Drosophila melanogaster: one gene and its partners. The protein of the gene in region 3 interacts with the protein of the main gene of each other region in a pairwise test. Each region holds a gene or a part of one and is shown on either strand. Other genes may lie near its edges.

Region 1 (10,413 bases), about 14 Mb from region 3:
ATTATGTATGCCTCCGTATGCTACGAAAACCAAATTTTTGGTTTGGAGTTTGAAAACTCAAGTAGGTCCCAAACATTGATTTTGTTTTAAACGACCCCGTTGCAACTCATGATCCTCCAAGTGGTACCCTGGGTACCGATTTCAAAATTTTAATCAAAAGCTAAAAGCAAAAAGATTTTTAATTTGACTGCTAAGTAACGGATATGTAATAGTCGGGCAACTTGATTATTGCGTCCTCTCTTGTTTTAATTTGATGTCGGACTATATTTAAATACCTAAAAGCGTAAAAATAACTACATATTAATGCACAAACAATAAAATTGAATGCATACTAACTTTTCTTATGCTTAAAATATTACAAATGTGTGTATATTATTAGTTTAAGTTTCAAATTAGTGAGTAAATGAATTTTTCACATTTCTTTATCTTTAAGTCATTTTTGAAAGGCAGGTGGTAATTGTGAGCCTGCACTAGTTTTAGGAGATAATAATTACGTGTTTATTTTAAACAAAATCGGAAGGTACTAGTCAGTAAGCATTAATTATTATTTTTTAAATAAGGCAAATATGTATATTTTAAAATATGAAATACATGTATGTATGTCCGTATAAATAAAACCGTGAAATCAAATGTCGATTAAGTCATTTGACATAGCCAAGCCAGGAAATTTGCGGCTGATCCAAAAATATCTACCTGAGTGTAGCATAGGTGGGATAAATTTGGGCAATACGACCAAGATCGTCATCGTTCTCCAATTGGGAATCCTTCCGTGTACGCCGAACTGGTAGGCTGGGCATCGCTTAGCTTCGAACCCAATTACGAATATAGCAAATTTATACGCGGTATTTGTAGCTTTCCCAGGATAACAACACAATCCGCATAGACGGAATCTGCGATCAGGGGTGATCAAACGTTAGAATTTGCACAACATTTGGGTTTGTTTACCTTTTTGAAGTTCGAGATCGTAATTGCTTGTCTTGTGAGACGTAGATAGTTTTCAACGTTGGGGGTACTCCGGCCTTGGTTGTTAACCGCAACCAAATACTTAGCATGCAATTGGCGCAGTCGAATGACGGAAATTCACATTCCCTAAGTGCTCGTTAAATAGAAGTTAAAATACTAGAATTGTATACATATACTGAATCACTTGGTGAAAGAAATATAAAATGTTTGTTATCACTGATAAATTTTAATATACATTTTTAAATTCAATCAAAGTCAATTCCATATTATCTGTACTTCATTAAAAAATATAATATTATTAAAACAATACGATCCCCACCGGCGTTGTATATTTTCACCGATTTTACGTGTTTCATTCATTCTTGAGTTTCCCCTGATACGTGTCTGCGTGCTGCTGGATGTTCTTTGAGTTTTGTAAAATTTTATTTAAGTCAATGATCACTTGAGCGGTAAGGTTTGAAAATATGTTCACTAGCCTAAGTGCATGATTCAAAGAAAAATATACATAACATTTTCTACGTTAAAAAGAAGCATCTCGACTGATTTGGTTGTTTCGCTCTATCAAGCTCACGTTTCGGTTTTCCATTATTATGTAATTTGAGTGATATATATCGATTTTTAAGAATTTAACACACATTATAGAAACATAAAAAATATAGAAACATAATAAAATTATAGTGCCATCACTCGCGTTTATATTAATAATAAAAGAAAGAATACTATAGTCGAGTTCCAAGGCTATCAAATAACCGTTACCAGCTAGTGTGAATACAAACGCGAAATTGCATCAATTTTATGGAATATCGATAGATAATGGGATATAAAATGATAAAAAATTTCAAAATTGTTCCAAAGTGTGGCATTAGGGCGTTAGAGTGCGCGTGGCAAAAATTTTATTGACAAATCGATAGAAATTAAAAAGACTAATTAAATTATAGTCAGATCGACTAGGATATTGGTCCTGATCAAGAATATATATACCTTAAATGGTCGGAATACGAAAATACGACTAACGGTTATAATAAATTCATCACCACATTACTAGAAGTAATTACTATTAAATAGAAAGCGCTTACACTGCTCATAATCTTGTTATTACATTTTATAATGTTTAACGAATGCTATCTATGCTTTAAATTGAAATACTTGTTATCCAGTAGGATTATACATAATGAATTATTTCAATATACCATTTAACAACAAAACAAATTGCGCAATTCCCATCACTAATCCCTATGCTTGGTTTGATATCTCCAAAACATGGAAATGCGATTCCAGTGTAAACATCCCATTTGTTCCTCGTAACAGTCAAAGGACGGCCAAAACCACGTGTAAATATATCTGTTTAATTATATCCCAAAATTAAGTCACCAAAACTAGCAAACGCACAAAAAATATTCAGTTTGACCCGCAAGAGATCGAAAATTTTTGCGTTATCTATTTACCAATAAAGTTGTTCCATATACTCAAAATCGTCGTGGTCTTGGTGTAAAAGGGGCTTCCAATAAAGTTTTTTTCTTCATCGTCGTAGACATGGTAACACTGCAAGTGAACATAAAAATCGAAAACTGATTTATTTACAATAAACAAAAGCGCTTATCGGCTCCAGGACGCGCATATGCTGACAACCATTTGGCTAAAGGTTTAACACAAATTCCTTCCAACGACGCGGACTACTGGTAGTACCCGCAGCCTAAATTGCCGCGATGCCGTGCTGGTATTACGACAAAAAGGAGCTGCGGGAGACGCCCTCGATCTTGGATGGAATAAGCTTCGAAACGGAGCGGCGGTACAGAAAAGAAGGTGCTCGATTTATTATGGAATGTGGCACCAAAATGGGCTTGGGCCACAACACGATGGCCACCGGCGTTGTATATTTTCACCGATTTTACATGTTTCATTCGTTCCGGAGTTTCCCCCGGTACGTGACTGCGTGCTGCTGCCTGTTCTTTGCTGGCAAGGTGGAGGAGACGCCAAAGAAGTGTCGCGACATTATTAAAACTGCGCGTGGCATCCTTACCGACAATTACTTCTACTCGTTTGGCGACGACCCTAAGGAGGAGGTGATGACGCTAGAGCGTATTCTGCTGCAGACCATCAAATTCGATTTGCAAGTAGAGCATCCTTACACCTTTCTCCTAAAGTACGCTAAGTGTTTCAAAGGCGACCAGCAGAAGCTGCAAAAGATGGTGCAAATGGCGTGGAACTTCGTCAACGACTCTCTCAGCACAGTAGTTTGTCTACAGTGGGAGCCGGAGATTATCGCCGTGGCTCTTATCCATTTGGCCAGCAAGCTAAGCAAATTCACTGTGCAAGACTGGGAGGGCCGCCAGCCACAGCAGCAGCGTTGGTGGGATATGTTTGTGTCTGATGTAACGATGGAAATACTCGAAGACATCTGCCACCAAGTTCTGGACCTGTACCAATCAACCCAAAAAGAAGCGCTCCAGCCAACCAGTCCGCCCCAAAAGCCACCAAGCAGAGCCGACAGTCCAAAATCCGGCAAGCTTACCAATTCTACGGGTATTGGACCACTTTCCGTTCCACAACAGCCGCCGCCCCCCGTATGTGGCAACGGTGGCGTGCTGGAAGTTAGCAACATTCAGAGCATTAAATCCCTAGCCAGTGGCGTGCCAATCATTGGTCCTAGCGACTCCCAGAACCTGTTACAGGGCCCAACACCACCAGGTCAGCCATCCGGGTACCACATTTATCATGCTCCTCCACCGCCGCCCCCGCCGGTAGTGCCTATGCCGCCGTACCCCTCTTCCGGATGGGGAGTCCAGCAGACAGTGGTCGGACACTATAGCGGGAGCGCTGCACCACCACCACCAATGCCGCCTAGCTTGCCTCCAGGAGCCAGTGGATACTACAACGCCGGTGGGCGTCCATCGCAGCAGCGCTACTAGTAGATGCAATGACTAATAAACAAGTAAAAAAAATTTGTATATTAAAACTAGCGAACCGTTCGGAATAGGATTTAGAGCGGGGATCTTCGTACGGTTCGGTTTTCTTTTTTGGTTACACTCTAGGCCCAATATTGTCCCGGGGTATTTATCAATGATTTTTATTCCCTTATTTTAAGTCCTTACCCTTTCACATGTACTTGTTAGCAGAATTTTGCTGAAATGATGTTTCCAAAACTGAATAAAACCAAATGAACTAGAAAAAAATATTTTGGACATTGGGGCACTAACAAAAATAGATTCTTATTAAAATTGGCGAAACGTTGAGACAAAGCGGAATTGGAGTAACGGCGAAGTTTATAACAGTGGAAGATAAACATGAGAAATATGTGAGAACAATTTTTCAAAAGTGTGGGCGTGGCAGTTTTGGGGGTTTTGTATGTAAAAGGAGGGGCGTGGCCAGTGTTTTTGGTATGCAGATAAAAATTGGCAAGTCAAACAATAAAACGAAGAAAAATCTAAAAATTTTTAAATAGTGTGGCGCTATGTGTCTCCGCAAACTGTATGCTTAATCTCAACCATCTAGCTTTTATAGTTCATGAGATCTCGACGTTCATACGGACAGACGGACAGTCGGAAAGTCAGATATGGCCAGATCGACTCGACTATTGATCCTGATCAAGAATATATATACTTTATATGGTCGGAAACGCTTCCTTCTGCCTGTTACATACATACTTACAACGAATCTTGCACCTTTTACTCTACGATTAATGGGTATAATAACTCTTTAGATGTTTGAATAATTTTTGGAATGATACATAGTGTGCGAAGATTGCTCGGCTATCAGAAACAACAGTGCAGTTTTGCAGTTTCCATGGACTTTATTCTTGCCCATGGTACACTTGGAATAATAACGACTGCCCAGGCTACCTCGATTCGTATGTTTATTATAAATATAATTATGTCGTAGGCCAACGGTTTCGTTTTCCAGGCTAAAGACGAAAATGTTCGAAAATAATATTATTGACTTTGTTCGATGTTCTTCAATTTAATTTAATTTTTAAATGGTGTTAAAAATAATTAATTTCCTTTTATCTTTCAAATTTTATAAAGTCGATTTCTCTGAAACCAGGCTCTTTGATGTGATACTTACCGCGCTCTGCTTTCGAAACATCAACTACTTTGTCTCAGTTCGTTGACTTGCTTCGTTACAAACGTCTCGATCTTTTCGCTAAAAGATCTAGCTGACTTTTAGTTCTCCCGCGCTCTAGGTCCAAGGACCTCTATTTCACCAAAGACACTATGATAATTTTAGTAATTTATAAATTAACTAAACAAAATAATTTTAGTTTGGTATTATTCTAGTGTTGCTTTACCGTAAGTTGGCTATATTTAGACCAGGTATTCGGATACTTCATTTTTATAACAATTGCAAATATAGTGGTAAAACACGAAAAAATTAACAAAATATTTTTGCGGTTATACATAAATTTTTCAATGCAGAAATAATTTCTCAGAAATAATAAAATATTATATAAATATCAATATGAAGAATATGAATAAGCTTTAGAGTATTACTTATTGCCGTTTTATCAAGGGCTAAATAACACATCTAAATAAATAGTGCAATAGGAAAAGGAAAGTTTTATATTATATATTAAGGTTTAAAGCTAGGGCATAATCTATTAGACTAAAATTTACATTGTGTTCTGATCACTACCCACTTATTGCCATATATGTTGCAGGAAAGGTCTTCCGTTGATGTTTTTCGCCAGAATGCTATGGTACTTCCAATGAAGCTGAGTTTTTGTCAAGGGATCTACACGTTTGTCGACCTTGTGAAAGACAAAAGCCAGTTCTGACTGGATTAAAAGTTTGCATTTGTTTGTGCTCTACTAGTATGCCTGGCATACAGTTCTGTACAGTTCAAGTCTTCAAGTCGTTATGATATAGGACCACCTCTGTCGAAGGGAATAAATTAAGATCGTACTTGTCAATACTCCAACTAATTTTATTGAGTAAATCTAACAGTACTTAAGAGTAAGAGTTAAGATTCACATAATATGCTTATGCCAACAGAATTGTGTAAGACAACAAATTTTGGGTAAGTGGTAATGCTATATAGCCAACTGGACAGAACATGTTTATGCCAGTAAGTCGTTCACGACCTGAAAAACGATAGTCCGTGTTGGACTAACACTTTTACCTGAAAAATAACATTCTCCTGGCCGTTGAAGTGTTAAATAAGTAATTAAAGAAGATTGAATTTTAAATTTAAAACAGCAGAAATTCTTGATTTGTTTTTTAGTAGCCGGCTTACTAACTATACGCGTGACTCGTATAGAGAGAGTATACTAGATTCGTTGTAAAGTAACAGTGACATTCATACGTGCTAGAAACTAACTTGTGAGTTTTAAAGCAACACAAAAATTTGGACCAGCAAGAAATATGTCGTTCTATACGCAGGGAACTCTTAGTAGAAACTTATCAGCTAATTCAATGTAGTTATAAACCGCTTGCAAGATCCCTTTCTTATAAAAAGCATAGAGTATAATAAAATTCTGATTGTCTTAATTCGAATGTAGAGCCTTTTTCCTGTCTTTGAGCTGGCCCACCAATCCGAGAAATATTTTTTCCAATATATGTGTGGTGTGTATCTCATACTGTTTTGTTTTCAGACATGTATATATATATAACGCTAAAGTAAGATTAAAAACGAAAGGCGGGTAACAACGAAGACGAAAGAAGAATTCAGGAAGATGATGATCAACTGAGATGAGTTGAGTTAGAAAATGTTTTTTATTATATTATTTTTATTTATATTATCCAAAAATCTGCAGTAGCAATTATGTTGCGTCACGGCCCTTGAACGACGTGCAGAACACAGCCAGCCTTATGAGAAAAGTTTAAGCACTTGGATTGCAGTCGTTAAAAATTCTTGCTGTCAAACAATTAAAAAACTGTGACCTTATGTTACCCTTGCTGGCCATGTTTGTTTTAAATAGGCTTCTGTGTCACAATTATTTCTAACGCATGGCGCTCACTCGCTAGCAAAACAATCTAATGCAAAATTCGAATAACAAAACAAGAGAGAATGCTATATATTTCCCTTATATGACCGGAAAACTATGTACCTGTTACATATGTTTCAACGACTCTAGTATACCTTTCTACTCTACAAGTAACGGGTATAATTACATATGTATATGTACATATGTACATACATACATATGTATTACGTATTCCGTAAACAAATATGCACATTACAATATAAGGCGTTGATAGGCGAGGCAGATACATATATTTGTATTGATACCTGTATATTATGGCCTACATAGAAAACATTTTTGAGCTTTAAACACCAACTAAACTTTGAGTTTCTTTATTTTCTTTTTTTTTTAGAGCGGAGAGACTTTTGAACCCGACTTAAGCGGTGGGTCACGGCCATGCGATCACCTGATTTAATATGGAAGATGACTTATTAAAAAAAATTAAACAATAAAACTGGGCTAAGCACTTCTAGAGAGATGATGTGTATCCGGCTTAATGTGAAAATAAATGAGTGGTTGTGCAAATACGTCCTAACATTTGCGGGTTAGAGTCAGTACCCCACTCATGTAATACTGCGGGATCATTAAATATTCGGGCAGGGTGCGTTTACAAAAGGAGGTTGACGACGATGCCTGTGCTTGTGTGGATGCTGCTACTGTTGCCTGACGCACGATGTGACCAACCTTTCCTGAAAAAAATAGAATGTTATTTTGTAAAAAAAAATAACAATTTAATACAATTTGAAATGACTTGTATTCTGCGTTAACCTTACAAAAATTGTTACGCCCACTGGCTAAGTAACGGAAATCTGAAATTTGAATAAATCGACTATAAGATTCTCTCGTCATTAATTGACTTCCCTAAAGTTCTTAGGGTAGCAATTATGTAGTCTCACGGACTAGCCTAATTAAGGTCAAATTGCTTCCCTCTTGCGTATATTGGCAAAATTTCATTAGTTTACAATTAAAGAAAAGAACTTGTTTAGTGTCTCTGTGTCAGGGGTAACAATACTTACTAATCCATATATATATATTTGTATATCTATCGATATTCCAGAAAAATTATGAAATTTCGCGATCGCATTTCTACTAGCTGAGTAACGGGTATCTTAAAATCGGCGAAGCCGACTATAGCGTTCTATTTTATGATTAGAAAACATTTTTCTTACTGAATATGTAAATATGTAATATATCAATACCGAGTAAAACTTTTATATACAAACTATGAAAAAACAACTCTATAGAACATCTTACCCATCACGTTTGCGCAATGAAAGCGGTCATCTAGTTGCTGAAGGAGGGAAAGATCTCGACAACGTGCCCAGGCATTAAGTATGTCCCTTACATTTATAGGCACCCATTCAGTTTTGTCTGCAGCTTTCTGTTTGAAAAATGTGTTGCATTAGTTTAAAAAAGTGTGTACAATATGTATTTGATTTTACCCCCTTAAATTGTACAATAAGCTGTTGGTGGGTCGCCATCTCGATCAACCGTTTGAGCTTGCGATGGTTTCCCTGCTGCTTTGAGGCCTGTATTAATAGCTGCTTGAGATTGACACTACTTTCCGTCCGTCGCCGCTTGGCCAATTGCTTGAAATAGCCATGAAGTAGCTCCCTGTCATAGGGTACGCGCAGTTTATCTAGCGCTTGCACTAGGTGCTCCTCGTCGCACGTCTTTCCTGTAGACAGACTTGCCACCAGTGGCTCAGTCAGATAGCCTTGATTGAGGAGCTATTCGCGAGAGCGGGTAAATTCATTATACACAATTATTATAGCATGCGTTTACATACCTGTAGACCGTTGAAACTATTATCACACGAAATAAACCTTTGGTTGCAGGGTGGACCCAAATTGGAACCAGAAACAATTCCGGTTGCTATTAAGCTGTGCCAGCCGGCGAACGGACCTCCATAGCAGTATACTGGGGACCCGCTTCGACAGCGAACCTGGTCCGACCGTGAGTAAAGCGAAATACTACTGCCCCGACTGCCAGCTGATCTACGACACTTAGGACATGTTCCCGGGTCTACGACTTTGCCTATGGTATTGGCCAAGAACTCCTTTTCTAGGCAGTCTAAGCAGTTCTCCTCGGTTATTCCCAAGTCAAATTGGCCCGTGCACGAAGAAGACGTGGTCAAAGCCCCAACAGTCGCAGGAGCCACCAGTATAGGAGGCACTTGATCTTGCTTTGACTTCGACCCTGACTGTTGCTGCTGACATGTTGTTGCCCGGAAATCAGTGCAGCTGTAGCAACGTTCATCAAAGCTAGCTGATGTATGAGAGCGCCGCGACTTATATGAGGAGCTTTTAGTCATCACAGACGAGGTGTGCAAAAAACGCTTTGGCTTAGCACCAGTCAGCTTAGGCTCTGGGTGTTCGCTGGGGACACTAGTGCTGCGCGAAAAATTTGAGCCTGTGTGCAATGTGTTGGGCAAGGAATGAGCCTGATAAGACTTCACTGACCGAAAGCTTCCGGAGGATTCAGCCTGCTTTTCCGAGCCAATAACTATTAGCTCATTTAAATCTATGTCCACGCCACTTCCACCAGCACCAACGTCTTTGATTTTATCTAAATTCAAGCTGATGCGCGCGAACTTCTTACTAAGGCGTAGCTTTTGCTGCTGCATTAGGTCCTCCTGCGGAAAATCATCTATGGGCGAGCTGTGCAGCTTTCCTTCCTGCGTAGAAGTAGTTCCGCCTATGCTGTTCATTTGGCTATAGTCGCGTTGCATTAACAACAAATTGGCCTGAGGCTGGATGGTCATATCGGTGGTTCCGCCAACAAGCTCCAACTCTGATGAGGGGTCTGGCTCAAAGTCCATTTCAAGAAACTCCGTCTCATCTTCGCCGTAAATGAGGCTATCGCCTCCCATAGCATTCACTGGTCCTCGGCCAAGGTCGAAGTGTTGCCCGCCAACCCTTCCCGTGGCGATGATATCCATGTTCATGTCAAAATCAGCCCCTTCACCACGGTAAGCGTAGACGCAGTCGTCGGAGTTGATAGATATCTCCTCCGCGTTCATGTCGTTGTCGTCCAGCAAAATTATATCGTCGCCGTAAATATTGTCACTGGCATAGCTCAGGTTTTCGGTTGAGTTGTTTATGGAAGTTCGGCTGGAATTATAGCCACAGGCGGCGGCTTCAAAGGATGAGAGGGCAGCTGCTGCTAGCCCGTAGCTTGCCACGTCCAGATCCAGTTCGCAGTAAGAAGGACTTTCCACCTTTTTAAAGGATAAACAGAACATAACATAATCAACATAATTTTTTGTGCTTAAAGCGGCAGTCACTTGCCTTATCACCATCCTCTGCGGCCATGGTCGCTGCAGGGCACTCCTCTGCCTTTGCCCCGCCACCACCCACGGCTCCCACGACCTGCTCGTCCACCGCTACGGCCTGCGCTGATGTTGTTGCTGCTCGTTTTTGATTTGTGCCCATTGTATTTACACCGGTCCCACAATTGACTTGGCTGACTAAGAGCTCCGGGCGTCGCTC
Region 2 (7,165 bases), 2.0 Mb from region 3:
ACTTGTTAGTTTCATATTTTTACGAGTAACTGGCCTTCATCAGGACGGACAGGCAGATGATCATTATATACTTTTCAAGGACTATAGAACAACTATTACACGGTACCTAATTGAGTTTACTCATCACCCTCAGTATTCTCTATTGATCTCGACGTTCATGAGGACGGACAGACATACGGACACAGCTAGATCCATATACTGCGCCCCTTACTTATCACAACTGCTAATAAATATTTGAAATCGTTTGTTTGGTTTGGTTTTAGGAAAGTTTAGTAGTTTTAAATTTTTAAGTAGATATGTTATACATATGTAATCGTTTTAATCGGTTATCTTGGAAAACTATCGATAACATGGCAATAAAATATAACATTTTAATTCACTTGCAGTGACAATGGATGAAAAAGATAAAGCTCAACACAACATGATATCCAACCTACCACTTTTGTTTGCGAACGGATATCCAACATCCCTAGAAAAAATTACGGAGTCCCAGTTAGAAAATTTTATTCCCTTCATGGTGCAATGCTCTTTAGGACACATAAACTTACCAAAGAAAATAGATTGCAGTGAACCAGAATGGTGGCCCGAAAGCGCTCCTTTCGAGATTCCGCTCAAAAAGCCGAAAGCATTTGTTGGGGTAAGCTTTTTTCCCTTACCTTTTGATTTCTATGGCTTATATTTAACATTCACCCCCATAAATGGCTAATATATACCTGTATCTATTTTACAGAATTGGATGGAAAAAATGAAAGAAATTGTGGTTATATGCTATCAATTTCACAAAAGCTTATTTCTATTAAGATTTTGTAATGATTTAGCTGCGTATGAACACGCGAGCTTAAGATTCATAAACAATTATAACTCAACAACTTCATTGTATGACAGGAGAAACAACAAACTGTTGGTTACATTTCGAAATGAAAACATGGTAAGCCAAGCCTACTTTGAATAATTGGGTTTTAAAATTAGTTAATTCTGAATTGGTTATTTTGCAGTCATATGATAGACAACAAAAGAACAGAAAGTGCTTGTTGCTGCAAAAGAACAACAGTTCCATTAGCGAAAACGTACAGCATATGATGGTTGAGCCACCACCTTTTGATATCTACCTATGTGACAACTGTGATGCCGAACTTTATTCTAAAGAAGCTATACTCGTAAGTTGATTGCCAAAGATTGTCAAAGTTAATAGTTAATAACTCTATTGCATAACAGGAACACGAAAACATTTGTTGCATGGAGGATGACGTTATACTTTGTGATTCCCCTGAGCCAGATAACAAAAGTGATGGGAAAAACGAAGATATCGAACAGCGCAACGCCTTTCTCTTAAACTTTAAACTGCAACCCAAATTCTCCGATAATAGTTTATCTAAAGAGAAACAGAAAACATATTCATTCAGCGAAGAAACATCAACGGAAACATCAAACAGAAAGAGGCGTTTACCATCGCGGAGAAATCGAACAGTTCATTCGTTTAGTAGGTGTTCGTTTATCCCAATATCATCACCTGCAGGACAGCAATTGTTAAAATCGACAAAACAAACAATATCAATGGATTATATTGCGGAAAGACAGGAACGCCTGGAACGCTTTTGTTACACTCCATTGATCAATAAATCAAATACCAAGCAAAAGTATTTTGAAAAAAAAACAAACACTACAGTGCATTGTACATTTAAAAAGTCACATGAACACAATTATCACATATATTCCTTTCCGCGGCGTCAATTTGTTAAACGCAGGGACACTACTGAGAACTTTTTGTTTTTGAACTCTCCGCTGATTAAACAATGCCGTCCAATATCAGTCAGATTGAAAAAAATATCCGAACACGTAATGGAAGAGCAAAATCACACTGCAAATACAAAACTCAATATAAGACTAACGCGCCACAATTCGCTCAACTCACACTGGAGAATTTCACCCACAAAGGAAGTTGTTGTTGATACAATTGACTTATGCTCCTCGGACGACGATGAGCAACAAGAGCCAGCAATAGGCTCGCCCAAAAGACTTGGCTCGGATGCACTGACTGTAATAAAACTTACACATAACAACAGAAATTTGTACAGTAGCCGCGTCGTCGAGCCAAGTAAATGTGCTCCAGAGCCAGAATCAGTAATAGTTGATAATTCGGTTAAGCCCCTACAGCAATCTTTATATATTTATTCAAACTATAAGGCTAATTCAGTAATTAGTCGCTGTACCGTAGACTCGATAGCCAATCATTCACTGGTTGGTTCCCTGAGTACATCGAATACTTTTGCTGATTCTGAGGGACACAGAAAGGAATACAATCAGGAAAACTGCAATTTTTCTAAGAACTTGGTCGCACTCACAGACTGGTACGCTCATTCGGCTAATTCGAAAAAAAGCACTACAAATCAGACTACTGAGAGTAGTACGTTTGATGCGATTTCCGCGGCTCCGCCTTTCAATGGCACTGGGCGTATAATTTCCATTGATTTAACTTCTTAGACATTTTAATCCATAGTTAAGTTAAGAAATTGTTATTTTACAAGAAAACCTAAACTAAGAATTACCATATATGAATAAATAATTTGTTTAAATACTTTTATATATAATGTCTAAATTCATTTTCTCTGCGTTTTAAAGAAAAGACATACTGTAGAGGAACCCTACTGTTTTGGGATCTCTATTACCACGTATAGATGGTAATCAGCATATTTTCCATCCGTTTTCTTCATAGTTCGAAGCGTTAATCGATGATCTGGTTGTTTGAAAGCATCGACATAAAGTACACGTAAATAGTACATGACCTTCAAAAGCTTATTTTTTTTGGTTATGAGTCACATCATAATTTTATTACGTCATTAAAGAAAGAGAGGGGACGTCAGGGTTAATACAAAGTAGCATTAATCCCATGATTGATACTTGAACCAGTCTTTTCGGTATGTACCTCAACCCAACGTGGGCTTGGCCCTTTGTAGAGTTAACCATCACCCCGCCTATTTTAGGCGATTCAGCTGTACGCGTCAGCTGCTTTTGGTTTGGCATATCTAGTTTTATATCGCATTTTCCATTCATTCCGATGGGATGAAGAATTTGATATAATTTAGACCATCCCAGATGTTTCTTTCCCACACTGTTCCACTCGATGCATTCTCACTGAAAACGTCTTTCAAAGAATACCACAGTAGTCCAATTTATGTAAGCCAAAACATATGAAAGACAACATTTTAAATGTTTATTTTATCATCATATGAAATTTCTCGGTCGCAAACGAAAATATAAATGTTTTCCACCGGAATAGAAAAATATCGGTGATCACAGCGATTATCCATATATAAAATGAATAAAATGGATGGATAAATGTCTTATAAATTTGGTATTCTTTTAACTTAAATACATAGGTAAATATAAAAATTTATTTTATTGCTTATCTTATTCAACCTCAATATAAATAGAAAAAAGCCAAGACATCATCACTGACTGCGATATTATACAGCCAAATAACTGAATTGACCGATTAAAATGTGGAAGTGTACACGGTGCACCCTGTATAATCGCGGATTGCTTGCTTTCATATCTATGAATTAGTTTGGTATGTAAAGTCGTATACAAGAAATGGTGTTTGAAACCAAAGCGATTTTACTGTTCCTCATGGTGTTGTCAAAGAAATTTTCGCTTTTAAATAATTAATTGATGAGTGTGTAAGTGAATATTGTGTTTATTGTTTACAAAAACCCCGTTTAGTCGAGTGATTAAGTGAAACAAATACCAGCATATATATGTACACAAAATTTCGCTCAAATGTGCCACTGACAGCAAATCAGTATTTCTGTACATAAACGTCAAGTTTGCCAGTTTGAAGTTTTAGTTCGCCGTAATGAACAGTGCAAATTACAAACATTAAATATTGATTAATCTATCGGCGTAAGACCGCAGTTTGATACACACATATATGTACGTACATTGCAAGCGTTCGCTGCGAGTGTGTGTATGTATGTATGGTCATTTGGGTGTTTTACTTATGTACATATGTACGTACGTGCGTATATAATCAATTTGTATGTAATGACAGCTGTGCAGAATGCAATGATTCAAAAATAATTTCAAATTGGATCGCTTTCGAAAATCCAAAAGTCATTTATTTTGCTGATTGCCTGTCGCTATTTTTGCATCCGCAATCGGCGAGAAATGGCGTGAATAGCACGTTCTGTCATCGATTGATAAAATAAATATTTTATTACCTTCTAGTGAAAATTCTGGATGGTAGTTTGAATTTTTTTTCAAAATCGGCGTAATTGTACTAAAAGAGATGCATTTATATTTTTCCTTACTAAGCTTAACATTTATCTGTAAGCCCACTGCTCCTTAAAAAATAATTGATTATTTTAAACCTATTTTAGATATTTTATGTGGTTTATGCGTTGAGTTTATGGTAGAAACACGGCAATTATGGAGTTCCACGACTAGGCTTCATTTTTGCACATGTTAAAAGGTGATTTTATTAATATATTTAACACATTTCCCTCTATCAATACATGTTTCTGTACTTTTCAGGTTTAAACCATAAACAGGACCCATATGCCTTCTACGACTTAAGTCATCAACATTATTTGCAATGAATGCAACGTTCCATTCATACAGAGACATACTAGCGGCACATCACCAAGACTCATCTAGTCCTGAGAACTTCGCCCCCATAGTAATTGACTATAGAAACTCAAACCACACAAAGGACACTGTGGAGACCAACTCGAATATCTCATCGTCTCAGCTATCGTTCATGGACGAATCTTCAAACGATTTCAATAATCAGCAGTTAATTCATTCCAACTCCCTTATTAAAGTGTGTGGTGGTTGTGGAGGTAAGTTCCTTGAATCGATTCATCTATGAGCTACAATAACTTAACTCACGTTTTCTCTGTTTCGCTTGCAGATAAAATAAGTGATAGATATCTTTTATACGCTTTGGACAGATACTGGCACAATGGCTGCCTTAAATGTCACTGCTGTGGAGCTATGCTAGCAGAAGTGGGTTCCAGCTGTTTTACGAGGCGAGGCCTGATTCTTTGCAAAAAGGACTATTCCAGGTACGCACGCATTCGACTGAAAAGATTATTTCAGCTTCCTTAAAAACATGTTGCCTACTTAATGGCGTCAACCATTTAGATACTCTTTAGATTATGTTCCTTGTGTTCAAGTTCACATTTATTTTCCAGCATGTTCGGGTGCTCCGGAGTTTGTTCTGGCTGCGGAGAAACTATACCGCCAAGTGAACTGGTAGCGAAAGCACTTACTGGAATAAATAATATCGATTTACAAAATCAACAAAAACAAATAATTAATTGCGTATTTCATCTAAGGTGCTTTAGTTGTGCTAAGTGTGGATCCAGTCTGCGTCCTGGTGATAGGTATGCCTAACAACACACTGCAGTGAAGAGCGAATTTGAAATGGAATTGCTTTTTCTTTTTGCAGGTATACTATGTTAGGAGCTAGCTTGGTGTGTGAACAAGATTGGCACAAATTACTTAAGGGCCCCGCCAACTCGAATGGAACGCTTGGACAAAGGAAAGGAAAGGTCGGTAGGCCCAGAAGATCAAAGGACTAATCAAACTTAATGTCACATAAAATATACATATATTTTAGAACATAGTTCATATTTTTAAATTACCTATAAAAATGTAATTAAATCATAATATAAAACAAGACCTTCATTTAGGTGAGTTCGATTGGGAATTACACGTGCAACTATGCATAAAAACGAATGGATAATCTTAAATCATTGAAAAATGAAATAAATTCGAAAACAATGACATAAACTAATATCGAATGACAGTAAAATTGATAGATGTTTTAATTAATTAAGACCCAAAAGGGACATCAGTCTTGTCTTAAAGAGCTTCAAGTAAACAAAATCCACAACAATTCAATTAATCTTTTTATTATGATCTAAAACATTTTCCCAGATATCTTCACAAGAATCAATAACAGTTTGCGGCGAGGACAGTTTGTGCTTCATGAAAAAGCCTTGAATTTGCGCCGGACTAGCGGAGCGTCCAAAGGAATTCACTCGTTTTCCGAACTCCTCGGCTTTTGTGGTGTCACTGCTGGCGAAGAAGTTCTTGAACATCTCCTCCAACTGATATTGCGTACAATAGCCAATGTATTCCTTTAAATCGATTCTACCAGGACGAACTAAGGCGGGATCGAGGCGGTCAATGTAGTTTGTTGTCATGAAGACAATTCTGGCCTCCGTGGAGCCCACACCGTCCAAGCAATTTAGGAGTCCACTGAACGTTATCCTGTTGAGACCGTCAAAGGCGGATTTCTGCTGCGGAGTAGCTTCGCGCGAGACGAATGCTGCGTCGATGTCCTCCAGCAGAATGATACTCTGCTCTGGCGCAACATTCAGGAGATGATTGAGTCGATCATCGGTGAGGCCTCTTTCGGATAGGTTTAGCAGGCAGACACTGTACTCCAGTTCGCCCGCCAGGGCGGTTATAAAGCTAGACTTGCCACAACCAGGTGGCCCGTACAGAAGGTAGCCTCTTCGGTAGGGGATTCCACGTTGCGTATACCACAGAGAGCTCTTAATGAAGTCCTGGCAGTCGGCAATGATTCGCTGCGAAGTTCCGCGATCCAGCACCACCGATCCAGTGGGACGCCTTCTGCGCGGATGTCCGAAGGGTCTCCATTCCGCACCCATCGCTGTGTACAGCACGGTTTTGCCCTCTGTGGCCTCCAGAGCCAGCTGCCTAGCCTCTTCGAGGATATCGAAATATATACCTTTATTGTTACCAAACGCTGTAAGCGTCACTGTCTCCCAAGGAACACCCATGTGAAGGTCCAATGTCTGTTGTTCCCTGGTCCGCTCCACCTGAATCCAATTGCCCTTGTACTGGAACAGATGCTTGCCTATGCTGGGTATGAAGTCATAGCTGGTTTTGATTGTGCCATTGTCGTTCTGCACAAAGTTTGTCTCCACGCTCAAGTGTTGCGTTTTTCGCGCTCCTCTGATCGTAATCCATTTTAACAGCCACTGATAGGATTTGTCCCGACACGGCACCTCCAGGGTAATCATGCAGTGCCGCCGGAACAGTATCACTCCGCCCTGGAGGCCCTTGCGCAATATGGCAGCAGCGGCGCCCACACCAAATAGTCCAAAACCGGCACCAAAGTAGGGATTTGACG
Region 3 (6,609 bases):
GTGAGTGACCTTTAAACAAATCCTCGGAATATTGCCAAACAATTGTTGTAATTACAGGAAGAGCAAGGTGAAGCTCGAGGAGGCGGAACCCACTCTGCCGACGACCACGCCAAAAAGGCGGAAACACGATTTCGGATCGGAGAAGATGAGCGAGTATCTGCTAGGGTCACGCAATCTGAAAGTTTTCCCCGTTGCCATGAGCCTGATAGCCAGGTAGAGTTGGCGATGCGATCCCGCACCTCCAAATATGCCTGTACAATCTGTTCCCTTTTATTTCCAGCTATATATCGGGCGTTACCATACTGGGCACAACCTCTGAGATCTACAATTATGGCACGCAATATTGGTTTATAGCCATAGCAATAATGCTCCAAGGTATTGCCGTCTCCTACGTCTACATACCAGTGTTCTCGGCTCTTCAAGTAGGCTCTTCCTATGAGGTACGATACTCGTAAATTCTATAAACTGATTTATACATTTACAATCTAATGGGTCAATAAGCTTATGCTAACAGTAAAAGTAATAACGTCCAGAACGCAACCAAAAATGTAAATTGGGTTTTAACGGAAATATTAATTTAGCTATAAAATACTCACCATTTCTTTCAATGACGAGTTAGTTAAAATAAAGATAGACAAGTTCATCTGTAGTGGTTGCTGATAAGAATGACAAACTTTCTAAGATGTTTCCGTCTTCCCCCTTTCGCTCCGTCACTTTTGTCCAATCAATGAACGGAGGACGTAGTGAACACTTTAATTAACTGGGAATCGGAGACCACCCTCCCCTCAAGTGGAATTTCTTGGACTTTGCACTCGCCCACTTGTTGCGACTTTTTTCTGGGTTCCAGCGGTTCGATATGATTAATTGCAATGTGGTTTTCTGCCACTTGACAATTGTGTCGAGCAATTAGTTTTCGTTTTCGGTCTTTATGACGTTAGTTTTCGAATCCTAAACGCAAGTCATTTGAATTATGAAATATAATATTGCTTTCAGTACTTGGAGATGCGCTTTCATTCGGTCGTACGAAGTATTGCATCCTTTATGTTTATTCTGGATGAGGTAAGTCAAAGATAATATTTGGACTGCAATGTTGTAATAATTGTCGATCCAATTTTAGATTCTGTTTCTGCCTTTCATTGTGTATGTACCAGCTATAGCTCTGAATCAGGGTAAGCCGCATTTGTTAATTGTTTGAAACACAACTTTAATCTTTCGATAATCTTGCAGTATCGGGCATTAATCTCCATGTGATTGCAGTGGTAATTGTGGTCGTGTGTGTTTTCTACACCTTTGTCGTAAGTTTTAGAGAGTTTCATACGTATGTTTTTATACTAATGGCGCCTATTTTCAGGGAGGAATCAAAGCAGTGGTCCACACAGATGCTTGGCAGGTGCTGGTCATGTTCCTTTCCGTTCTTGCTGTGGCTATTTTGGCCACTGTCTATGCAAATGGCTTGAATGTCCTTTTCGATGATGCTGCCAAAGGTGGCCGATTGATCTTTAACAATACAAACCCATCGCCTTATGTAAGGCACACTGTTTGGAGCGTCCTAATCGGGGGATTCTCCTACTGGACCTCATTCAATGCCGTCAACCAGACCATGGTCCAGCGATACATGTCTCTTCCATCGCTCAAGAAGGCTCGTGCTTCCATGGCCATTTTTACAATTGGCGTGGCTGCCTTCGTCTCTGTTTGTTGTTATGTGGGACTGCTAATCTATGAGATGTACAAAGATTGTGATCCTCTGAGTGCGGGACTAATAACAGTGAGTAAATAATAAATTGTTTTTGAACTTTACTTACGTTTATTTCCTTGCAGCACGACGATCAGCTACTGCCGCTCTTTGTCGTTCAGAGTGTGGGTCATATCTATGGTATGTCTGGTTTGTTTATAGCCGGCATATTTGGAGCTGCCTTGAGCTCCCTTTCTGTGGTTCTGAACTCAACGTCCTTGGTAATCCTGGAGGATATAGTTCGCGGCTGCTTCAAGATGCAACCAAGTGAAAGAGCCTCCACCATTCTGGTAAAGTCAACTGTTATAGTTCTTGGCTTTGTGGCCCTATCACTGGTATTTGTCCTGGAACAACTGAGTGGAATCCTGAGCATTTGCACTTCAATGACGGCCATCGCAGCTGGAACCACTTTTGGCCTGTTTACCCTGGGAATGCTCGTTCCCTGGGCCAATACTGTAGGCACTGCTGTGGGCGGAATTGCAAGTGCTCTGCTCGCCGGGTGGATATCCTTTGGAACGCAGTTTACCATCGCAGCGGGTGAATTGAATTCTCAAAAGCTTCCCGTATCCGTGGAGGGATGTGTGGGCAATGTAACGCTTCGGGAAAATATATGGGTAGATGAGGAGCAAGTTTTTCCACTGTACCGACTGTCCTACCACTGGATAAATCCCATTGGTGTGGCCACAGTCATTGTGGTAGGTGCACTAGTCTCCCTTGTGACCAAACCCACAAATATGAAAACACTAGATCCGGATCTAATATCACCAGTGATTCACAGGTAATTTTTGTAACCACATGTTTAACCTCTGTTATTAAACCCATTTTTTCTTCTAGATTCCTTCCAAAAGAATGCTTTAGTGGTCGCAATCTCCATGCGCAGGCGCACAAAAACCTCTTAAACGTATCCTAAAATAGACGAACCAGAACTTCCTGTGCCAAACTAATGGAATTGATGGCATTGAATTCCACACCCTGTTTTGTTAGCATAGTTTGTAGTTGTAGTTGCTTTGTGGTAGTTACCTTATAGATAGCCTAGTCTAGTACAATGTGATCCAGATATTGGAAGACATAAACCGAAGTACAGGAACCTATGAATCTGCATCTCAGAATACAGAGTGCACAATCATTAACGTTATATAGTAAATGTATTATAATATAGCTTTATTTAATTGTTCTGTTTGTATCCGTTCTTTACTTTCCAGCCTTTGTTCAAGCATTATTTTTTTGGCATTTTCGATTTGTAGTCAGCAGACTGTGTCTCATTATGTATTCCGTTTGACTTTACAAGCATAATGTCTGTGATAAATTCAATAAATAGATCATACATACTATCCGAATTTTGTACACCTAGAATATAGTTAAGCGGTTGCAAAGCAGCAGGAATGATATGACCTCTGTCTGGATCTGGATCTGGGATCTGAGTCTGGAATCTGGCGTATCTAGTCTAAACTAAGCCCCAATCAGGCGTAAATCACAAAAGAGGATATGCCTTGTATAGGCATGCTTATACATACTAATTAACCTTCCGATGATCTACAGCCGACGACTGTCTTCTGCTTTGGATGCACTTTCGTAGCTGGAACCCGATGACAATTAGGCAAAGAATGCCAGCACTCAGATAGCTATTGAAGACAAACTGCTGTGGCAGCATTTTGCACTTGGAAACCACATAGTCATCGGGGGTTATAGTGGCCTAAAAGTTATGGCATGTTAGTACAAGTTCGAAGGGCTAACAATCGTAAGAGCAAATATAATACTCACCAGCATAAAGCTGGGATTAACTTTGTTTCGCCAGCTGAATGAGGCCACCGTGTACTCATCGATGCCCAGTCGATTTACACTGTGACAGAAGTGATGTGAATGACCGGCGAATGCCAGCCTTGGCTTAAGCAGCTCTCCCAGCATATCCGTGGCATCCTTGGAGAGCACATGAAACCGCTCTCGGAACGCCTCGATGTACGGAGCATCGTGCTCCTCGCACATGGTATCCGAAATGCGGTAGGTGGGAAAGTGCTGCAATAGAATTGGCTGGCTGTACGGGTGCCGCCTGGTGCGAGCGCACTCCGCCTCTAGTGGATACTTCATGCAGTACAAAGTCCTCGAAATGTTTTTCAACTGATCCTCGGCCTGGGTGCAAAACATGCAACCATCACCTTCCATAGCCATCGAATTTATCACCACAAAATGGATTTGTTTAATGGTGTACAAATTGACCGAGGAGTTGTTCAGATAACTCTCAAAACGCGACATAAAGAAGGGATGCATTCTGGAAAACACACAAGAGCGCGGTTTAACAAATATCAGGGAATACACATAGTCTCTTATTGACTTACTTGTAATGGAAGCCCACGTCATGATTTCCCGCGACACTGATGAGCGGAATTCCCGGTGGTAGGTGGAACATCTTCAGGTAGCGCCACACATATTCCTGGAACTGCTTGTCGCTGACCATGTCGCCCTCGTCGAACAAATCGCCCAAGACGAAGACCACGTCGGGCTGGAACAGACGTGATGCCGCCTGAAAGGCCCGCGTCATGTGCCACTCCCGGTAGAGCTTGTCCAGCCAGTGACCACGATGCGGTCCCAGCAGATGCGGATCCGCTAGAATCATTGCCCTAAGCGGATCGTCCACATACTTCTTTCGCTTTATCTCCGGCCACTTGCACTTTTGCAGCACCACAAAGTCCGCCACATATTCGCAGAAGATCAGGGCGCACAGCACGATCACAAAGCAGGCATAAAGAAAGCGCATTTCAGGATTTCTCACCGGCTAAAAAAATAATAACAAATTTATTCTAGAGCTGAAAAACCATCAGCGATAGTATCGTTTTAAACGAGTAAACGGCCCGATATAAATTTAAAATATTCGATAAATTAAACAGTGCTGTCAAGCGGCTGTCGGTTGACTAACAAATTGGCGCCTCATTTCAAAGTTGGTTACTAAAATTGTAAATTGGAAAAATTATGAAGCATTATGGCTTATATATAATTTCCTTTATTTGGAATAGGTATTGTGCATTGCATGCTGCTTACAGGCTAACTAGAAGAGATCGTAAAAATAGTTTAGGCCTTGGCCAAGTTCCCAGATTGAAATGCCAGTGCCCAGTTCCTGGGCGAGCTTTATTCGCTCGTTTATGGAATAGAGAGTGGGATAAAAGACAATGTGGCGACCGTCATCGTTTCTGAAAGTAATGATATTCATCATCTTCGCCTTACACTCTGCATACGCTGCAGTAGAAAACTCACTTGATTTCAAAGAAATTTTCCACATCCCGCTCATCGTAAGTTAGGTGCTTCTTCACATGCCTGACTAGATCCAAGTACTGGGAGAAGGTGATGGGTCCACCTCCATCGGGCGTGTAATCATTCCCGTACATATTCAGTCCCAACAGAATTTTAGCCCTCTTAGCCGTCATATCAGCGCAACCTTCTGGAGCTATTGTCTCCACAGCCTTACGGACGAAATATAATGGTGCATTTGCTCCGGGACGCTGCACGCTGGAGAAGTCGTAAGTCATCAGAGAGAAGGCGTATATGTGCTTGAACAGCTTGTCCATGTGCTTTTCTCCAAAAAGGTGGCCTGTTTCCTTGCGGAATGGAGGAATGACCAAAATGAGTCGCAGCTGTTGCTTTTGTAGTTCTTTGGCTAAGTGACGTAAAAGAAATTTAAATTATTAATAACAAACAAAGGGTTACAACGCATTAAGCTCACCCATTTGCAAAACCAGTGTGTACAGAATTTTGTCATCTATGCGTCCAGCTAGCTGGGACCACACCTCCAGGACGAGTCCATCGAAGCCATTATCCTTGCAGCACTTGATCAGCACGTCGTTGACTTTCGTCCTCTCCTGGGCGTCGCTAAGCAAGAGCTTAATGTCCCGATCAGTGAAGTGATCGAATATAAAACGGGGAAACACTGAAATCCAAGGAAAGTGAGTTTAGACTAACGCCAGCGGGTATCATTTTCTCATACCTTTAACCGTTCGCTGATTGTGCACCTGTTTACCCTTTCTCCGGACATCGGTTAGCCAACCCGCATCGATGTCATGGGTTCCGGCTACGGCATAACGATCTCCCTGCTTAACAATCTGCAGCCAAACCGGCGAGATAATGTCGAACTTCTTGGCAAATATCTTAGCCACATCATAGCCATGCGAGTTCCACTACAAGCAAAGCAAACAATAGATTAATACACATGCACAAAATGTGGGAGTACGTCCTCTGCTTACTGGAGTCACATAGCCCAAGGTGGTGCCATTGAAGCGTCGCAATCCCGTCTCCTTGAAGTACCCGCGATGATTGCTCACGATATCCTTGGCCAGGGGCTCGGGACTAACCAAGCCCAGATCGAAAACATCTTGGTCTTGCGGACCGCCACGCAGAGCACTCTCCTTGGTCTTGCTCTTCGATTTGTGGCTGTCCGGGGCGAGGGTTCCGCGGACGGTGGTCAGCAGTAGAAGCAGGAGAGCGACGCGGAGCAGGAGCGCATCAGGCGCACGCATTTCGACAGAAGGACAATCAGGACCACAGCATAAATCGCACAAAAACAAATCGCATACAAAAAAAAAGCCGGCAGCAAAGTGACCATAGCGTACACTAAACGGCAAACGGCATCAGACACTCTAAATGGTCACCCTAAATTGGTAAATAGCAGTGTGCTTCAGAAATTATTACTTGGACTTGACTTAACATTATATTTGATATATTTTATTTTATTATTTATAAGCTTAAAATTATATCACCGAATTATTTCAACTTCAAACAATAACGAGAACTTAATATGTTTCTTAAATTGCGCATCCGATTTAAATCACCCGCTCTGCCTTTAACGATTGGTCTTCAACAATCGATTTTAGCTTAGAGCATTGCCAGATCGC
Region 4 (6,703 bases), on a different chromosome or scaffold from region 3:
TTGTGTGTTTCTTTTATTTCGCCACTTCCGATCTTTTTTACTCTTCTCGCTTATTCCATTTATTCTTAAATACCCAATCAATCTTGGGCTGCTCTACATTTTCTTTCTTGTCCGTCTCCTGAATGCGTCGTCTCGATTTCATTCACACTTACACATATAACTCCAAAACAACACTAAGAAAAAAAATTATCACGAACTTATATTAATCTATTATTCCGGACCGAGCTCGCTGCCTTCTTACGGAATCCCTTCGCGGTCGCCAACTTGGCCCTAAGATTAACGTCGACGCGTTCACGGGCTTCTCAAAGAGAAAATAATGCCTTAAAAGCCGCGTATATCGCTTTGGGGCAGACTCCGGGAACTTATCAGATCGATAGCTGAACTAAACTGTTTGGAAACTTAGAGCGCGAGCGGGAAATTTCTCTCAAACTCGTAAATTCCCTTAAGTGTATGCAACATGTTGCATCGAGCAAAAATTTGCGGTAGACTGGAGACTGGCGGTTCGAAATCAACGAAAAAACCAATAGCGACCAGTAAAAAATATATTATTTTAAAAATAACTGCACAGCTATAAAATCTTTGGCGCTTATCAAACTATTTAAACAATATTTTATAGCTCTAAAGATTCAACTTAATAAGACAAAGAAATGCACTCACATCAATACTTTTTTGTAGATCACTCGGGAGAGCGCCCTGAAGTTCCTGCAGGACATTCGGCTGGGAATAGAGTTCTTGCAGCGGTCCTATGCCAATCGAATTTTCCCCGAAGAGGTTCGCCAGAATCAGTTAAAGCGCCACAGTCCCGCCATTACCACGCCCCCAGCATCCACTACGACCACGACGACAACAAGCACCACCACAACCACAGAAAAGCCATTCCCAGCAGTGCACGAATCCGGTTCGGAATCAGGAATCGAGCGAGGCGCCGCAGGAGTCCTGCCCGCGAAGAGCTTCGATAGCTTCACCTTCTGGAACAAACTCAAAGTTTTGGACAGCGAGGCACAGCAAGGTGGGATTAGGATCATATACCAAATCTTATATAGAGATAGAAACATATCTTAACCAACATGTTGTTCCACTAACAGATTTGAATGACTATGATGAGGGTCGGGCCAAGATTGTCGAGTACTTGTACAATGAATACTCCCTGGAGGAGATCCTTTACAAACTGGCAAAGGTATAACAGTGATTAATAACACACAAACTTAAATATTAAATAATTGCTGTTTTTTTTTTGTTGTGCCCAGGTAATGTTTGCTCAATCGCTTTCGCATGGCTCCGATGAGGCCCAAATGGAGCTGCAGAAGCTTACGGAATTTCTAGAGCGCGAGGGTAACATGGGTGTCATACCCATCGACTTGCAAAAGAAGGTTTTAAGTAAGTAACCAGTATTACCTATGAAAAGGCGTAAAATTCATTTGTATTTTTTAATTTTTCCAGGAGTTTTGCTGAGCGCATTGTCGGACACCCTGACCGAACATCCGGAGTTTCTGCCGGCGGCGCGGGTTAATCTGGCCAACCCATTTTACAGGCTTCCAATACACGCCCCTAGCCAATAAAGACACATTGGGCGGCCATCTCAGATTAATAGAAACCCCTATAAATATATATATGTTAACCCGCATAATTCGCATCAGCTAAATGGCAAGCATATACCCACTGATCGGCGCTACTCTGGGGAGGCGCTCTCTCGGATCTTCGATCCAACTCGACCTAATTAAGTTCATCCGATCGATTGGCACCTTTCACCTTCGTTTACGGATTAGCCTACGTGTAATATAGCAAAAGATACTCAAGTGATATTTTGTGGTCAGGTGGAGTCGGCGGCAGATGCAGGTATCACCAAACCAAATCAAAAAAACTAAAGACACAACTGATGAGAGAGACTTGCGCCCCTTTGAGCTTTTAAAATTAATATAGACTATCTATATGTATATGTCCATATGTCCATATGTCGATATGCATACGAATTGGCGCACTTGCTTATATTTGATATGAGTTTGTTAGTTAGATACATTCCGAGGTTGAGATGTCGAGGTCGCTGGCAAAATCGATGGGCCACCAGAAACGACCGATTTGAAGCAGGAAAGGGCTCTGAGTCCGCCTATATCAGTAGCTAATATGGATATAACTTGTAACCGCTCCACAGACGAGCGACTTTCGTGAATAGTTATTATTCTATTTGTTGTCCCCCTCCCTGAATAATTGAGCGTTACAGGCATTATTGATGGATTGGTTAAACGATTGATTGTGTTGCGAGTTACATATACGATATGCAAGTAAGAACTAGAACCTGTATCAACAAATTATCGATTATACACTCAATATACATAAATATATATATATATATATAAAACATGCGAATCAATTTATTTAACTATTGCTCCTTTTTTGGCTCTGAAGTCTCTGGCTTGTCGAGCAACTGGTTGATTCGTTCTTCAGTCAGCGGCTCCTTACTGTTGAACAGTTTCTCGATCTCGTCCCTCTCTTCCTCGCTAATATCCTTGGCATAGATTTTGGCCAGATCCTCCAGGCGCTGCTGGTTCTTCTTCAGATGTCCAGGTAGCCAGAAAATGGTCTGCACCATTCTATAAGAAATAATTGGTACTATAAGGTGCCAGGTATTATGATCACATTACAAATTTGTACATTGCGCATTAAGTATTGAGTATTGAATAGTTTAGTAAATGTCCTTACTTAAGAAGTACAAATCCGCAAATGGCCAGTAAAAGACACAATCCCGATGTCTTAAACATGGTCCAATAGTCCACCGTAACTTGTTGGTGTTTCATTTTGGAAATCCTTTGAAAATGAGCTCCACTCTAGACTGAATTATGGCTTGAACTGTCATAAGTGCGATATGGTAATATGCCTTCGGGCCAAGAATGCCAATGTTATGGTCACGTCGTCAGGGGCAGCCGGCTCGGGAGATACGTGTATTATACACCATCGGCAGACCAATCATGTGTGGCCTCTATAAATCGATATCACACAAGCCCTGATTTTGATGACCAGGCTACAAAGTCGGGCTAAAGTGCTAACTGGGCCGCATAAGGATTAATGTGCGCACATGTTGCTGCTGCATAAGTGCTGCATGTTGCCGACGACACTAGCAACATGTTGCTGGCGTGATTCAGGCATTTTATTGTTTTCATTTGCAATCGGATTTTCTATATTTAACAATTATCTTCAACGAATTACGTATTTGCAAATAATAATAAAAATTATATGCCTTATTAAAAAGATCGAGCTGCAGAATACCCTCTTCTCAATTTTTAATGTGCCCGAATTTAAGGGTAGCCTATTGTTATTAATGTTTTAGTATAATTTTTTTTTTTTATAAATTTCCATTGGTGATATAATAAAAGGTCTCTTAAAAGGCAAATGTCTTGAAATAAATGGAAATTTTATATGCTTGACTTTTTAAAGTAAGGGGTACCAAAATAATTGAAAATCGATAAGAAAATCCGTCGTTTTGGCGGGGTGTTTGGGTTTCTTTAGATTGTAAATTTGAGACCCGCGATTTCAATCTAAACAAGAAGCTGATTAGGCCAGGTGTATCTAACTCTCATATATATTTAACTGATTTCTTGGGGGTCTTCGTACGCGTTTGCCAATAAATCTGATTGTTTGTGACTATCAATGGATAGATAGTGGTCAAGGGGCTATAAAAGCTGTGATCCCGAACCACACGGATCATAGTACTGCGATGACAAGAGGAGCGTTAAAAGTGACCATTTTACTGGTCGGATTGGGCCTGGTTTTGGCCGGATCTCGGCCTATTTCTGATTGCGTAAGTAAAAATTTAAGAGTTTGAAAACAATTTAATATTACATATTTGTTATTTATTATTTGGTTTTTCTTTTGACAGAGTGAAACCATTTAATTGCTTTTTATTTACAAATTAAAATTAATTAAAAATAAGCATACATTTAATTGTTTTGTAGGGTGAGCGCATTGAAGACGATGGCTACCCGATGGAGCGCCACGAGGTGGTCACCAGTGACAACTACATCCTGACTATGCACCGCATCCCGTATTCCCCCAAAACGGGTGAATCTTCCAACCGACCGGTGGCCTTCCTCATGCACGGCATGCTGAGTTCTTCCTCCGATTGGGTGCTCATGGGTCCAGAGCGATCCCTGGCCTATATGCTGGCCGATGCCGGCTACGATGTGTGGATGGGCAATGCCCGAGGCAACACCTACTCCAAGGCGCACAAGTACTGGCCCACTTACTGGCAGATCTTCTGGAACTTCAGCTGGAACGAGATCGGCATGTACGACGTTCCGGCGATGATTGATTATGTCTTGGCAAAGACTGGACAGCAGCAGGTGCAATATGTGGGCCACTCCCAGGGTACCACTGTCTATCTGGTGATGGTGTCGGAGAGACCCGAGTACAATGACAAGATCAAGTCCGCCCATCTTCTGGGACCAGCCGCCTATATGGGCAACATGAAGAGCCCCTTGACCCGCGCCTTTGCACCCATTTTGGGCCAGCCCAATGCCATCGTGGAGGTCTGCGGATCCATGGAGTTCATGCCCAGCAATAAGTTCAAGCAGGATTTGGGCATAGAGATGTGCCAGGCCACTTCTCCTTATGCCGACATGTGCGCCAACGAGATCTTCCTGATTGGAGGCTATGATACCGAACAGCTGGACTACGTAAGTATCTGGAAATGAACTTGGTCCTATAAATTATATTTCCATGTAACTTATAATGCTGCTCTCCATTTGGTCAGGAACTCCTTGAGCACATCAAGGCCACGTCTCCGGCTGGCGCATCGGTGAACCAGAACTTGCACTTTTGTCAGGAATATAACTCTGGAAAGTTCCGTAAATTCGACTACACCGCTCTCCGTAATCCCTATGAGTACGGCAGCTACTTCCCTCCGGATTACAAGCTAAAGAATGCCAAGGCCCCGGTTCTATTGTACTACGGAGCCAATGACTGGATGTGCGATGTGAGCGATGTCCGCAAGTTGAGAGACGAACTGCCCAACATGGCGCTGGACTACCTGGTGCCGTTCGAGAAGTGGGCCCATCTGGATTTCATTTGGGGCACTGAGGCCAGAAAATACGTCTACGACGAGGTCTTGAAGCAGATGCAATCCTACGAATAGATTTATTTTTCAGGCAATAAACGGAGCATTTGAGCTAGCAAATTTCGAGATTGATTAGTTCTCCTCCAACTCCAAATCCAGAACGTACGATAATATTTTAGTCTCTTCATTCTTGAGGGTATACTTTATGCGATAGAAGCCCGGACTCATCAGCTTTTTGAGCAACTTGACATTGAAGGGATAGTCCTCTAGTACATAGCGTTCCTTGGGCAGAGGACAGCTGCTGGGATGCGGGGCATTCGAGTATTCCTTGATCCGTTCGTAAAAGATATCCTTGTAGTAGCTCTTCATAAAGTCGCAAAGCTGCATTTCGAATGTCAAAACCTTCTCGTAGTCTCCATCGCTATCCGGGGATCTTGAAACCTTAAGCACAACCTGTTGAAGGAATAATAAATAATTAATTCCTCCACTATATATTATAAACTACGTACCGTCCAATCATTGTCGAGTCGTTGATTCAGATCGAGATATCCGCTGACTTTCAACTCATTTTCCTCGGACTCAGCGATACGCAGACGACTGCGCAGATATGAGGTATCCTCAGTCACCTTTTCTAATTTCTGGATCCTGAATGTCCTTTTAGCCTGGACTGTAATATTACTGGTTAGGACGATAATTGCCAAGACCGCCAGATAAGAGACGGGACATAAAGAGGAGCCCATTACGATACTTTGACGACTGATGGCTGATCATTCGTTGTCATTGGTATATAAGGATTTAGATAGATGATCGCTTGTACCGGAAACGAACTTGTTTCGGTTATTCCCAGAAATGGTTCATTGATATCAAAACGCGATCCCTTTGTTTTATTAAGCTATTGCACAGTTATATTTAATTGCCAACATCACGAAATATACGATTGAATTCACTTTAAGGACGGTACACCTATGAAATAATTATTACCCTTCATTTTCTTTTAACTGATTTAAAAAAAAAATCGAGCTGTTTTAAATTCTGAGCACCTTATTTTAATCCTTCTTACGTCTTGGGATAACATTATTAATTTTAATTTATTTGTTTATAGAAAAACAAAGACTATTTACATTTCGTAGAAACCGTTTGTCCTTTTTTTTATTTATTTATTGAATGGCCGATTTTACACATAAAGCAACAACAAACAAATGCTTAGCCATTGTTAACAAAATATTTATAATTAGTAACAGCACGACAATGACGATGGAGTACGATAGAGTCAACCTTTACCTTCTATGCCCACACCAATTAGCACAGAATATATTTAATGGTCTACCTTCTGTTTAATTGCTCTTAGCTTAAAGTTTGTTCAAAATCCAGTACAAATATACATATTGTTATACGCAGTGGAAAGATATTATGTTTACTTTAAACAAGCAAATTGCGAAAAAATCGACACTATTTAAGCATTAATATTCACGGTAAATGAATACATTTCTGTATTTTATTAAAAAGTATATATTTCGGGATAGCGGGCATTGAACGCTTAACAACAAATATTTTGCTAGCATAAAAGCATCTTGGTTAACAACTGGAACGGGCTAAAGCTAAGTTATGTTCTACACGGTGAACGAATTGCTGCTGGAATGTTGCATTGCTCAAGGG

What was found.
Region 1: the proteins of PGAP5 (region 3) and CycK interact in a two-hybrid assay, tested with the Drosophila melanogaster proteins (one large-scale study listed by BioGRID).
Region 2: the proteins of PGAP5 (region 3) and CG5708 interact in a two-hybrid assay, tested with the Drosophila melanogaster proteins (one large-scale study listed by BioGRID).
Region 4: the proteins of PGAP5 (region 3) and Lip3 interact in a two-hybrid assay, tested with the Drosophila melanogaster proteins (one large-scale study listed by BioGRID).

What each region holds. Positions count from the first base shown.
Region 1 is NT_033779.5:22,121,980-22,132,392, reverse strand, and holds CycK (cyclin K), read left to right. Parts: upstream 1-2,250; 5' UTR 2,251-2,669; coding exon 2,670-3,872; 3' UTR 3,873-7,453; coding exon of another isoform or gene 7,454-7,611; 3' UTR 7,612-8,108; downstream 8,109-10,413. Other genes in the region: CG3651 (uncharacterized protein), read right to left, coding at 7,454-7,611, 8,177-8,303, 8,365-8,652, 8,712-10,142, 10,213-10,413.
Region 2 is NT_033779.5:10,223,177-10,230,341, reverse strand, and holds CG5708 (uncharacterized protein), read left to right. Parts: upstream 1-3,533; 5' UTR 3,534-3,677; intron 3,678-4,376; 5' UTR 4,377-4,468; intron 4,469-4,530; 5' UTR 4,531-4,591; coding exon 4,592-4,838; intron 4,839-4,909; coding exon 4,910-5,063; intron 5,064-5,192; coding exon 5,193-5,384; intron 5,385-5,449; coding exon 5,450-5,582; 3' UTR 5,583-5,885; downstream 5,886-7,165. Other genes in the region: ova (ovaries absent), read left to right, coding at 392-637, 731-928, 996-1,157, 1,216-2,481; Bcs1 chaperone, read right to left, coding at 5,901-7,165.
Region 3 is NT_033779.5:8,196,918-8,203,526, reverse strand, and holds PGAP5 (Post-GPI attachment to proteins 5), read right to left. Parts: upstream 4,575-6,609; 5' UTR 4,485-4,574; coding exon 4,066-4,484; intron 3,999-4,065; coding exon 3,494-3,998; intron 3,426-3,493; coding exon 3,247-3,425; coding exon of another isoform or gene 3,246-3,246; exon of another isoform or gene 3,182-3,245; coding exon 3,172-3,181; 3' UTR 2,875-3,171; downstream 1-2,874. Other genes in the region: SLC5A11 (Sodium/solute co-transporter-like 5A11), read left to right, coding at 58-213, 281-440, 994-1,059, 1,118-1,169, 1,228-1,295, 1,352-1,765, 1,819-2,510, 2,567-2,642; CG8460 (uncharacterized protein), read right to left, coding at 4,773-4,914, 4,979-5,378, 5,445-5,648, 5,706-5,895, 5,962-6,234. UniProt on the Drosophila melanogaster protein: Metallophosphoesterase.
Region 4 is NT_033777.3:13,368,753-13,375,455, reverse strand, and holds Lip3 (lipase 3), read left to right. Parts: upstream 1-3,551; 5' UTR 3,552-3,709; coding exon 3,710-3,793; intron 3,794-3,947; coding exon 3,948-4,667; intron 4,668-4,744; coding exon 4,745-5,125; 3' UTR 5,126-5,179; downstream 5,180-6,703. Other genes in the region: CG9813 (uncharacterized protein), read left to right, coding at 676-1,009, 1,086-1,177, 1,248-1,377, 1,441-1,559; CG34309 (uncharacterized protein), read right to left, coding at 2,378-2,588, 2,698-2,792; CheA87a (chemosensory protein A 87a), read right to left, coding at 5,180-5,500, 5,557-5,787.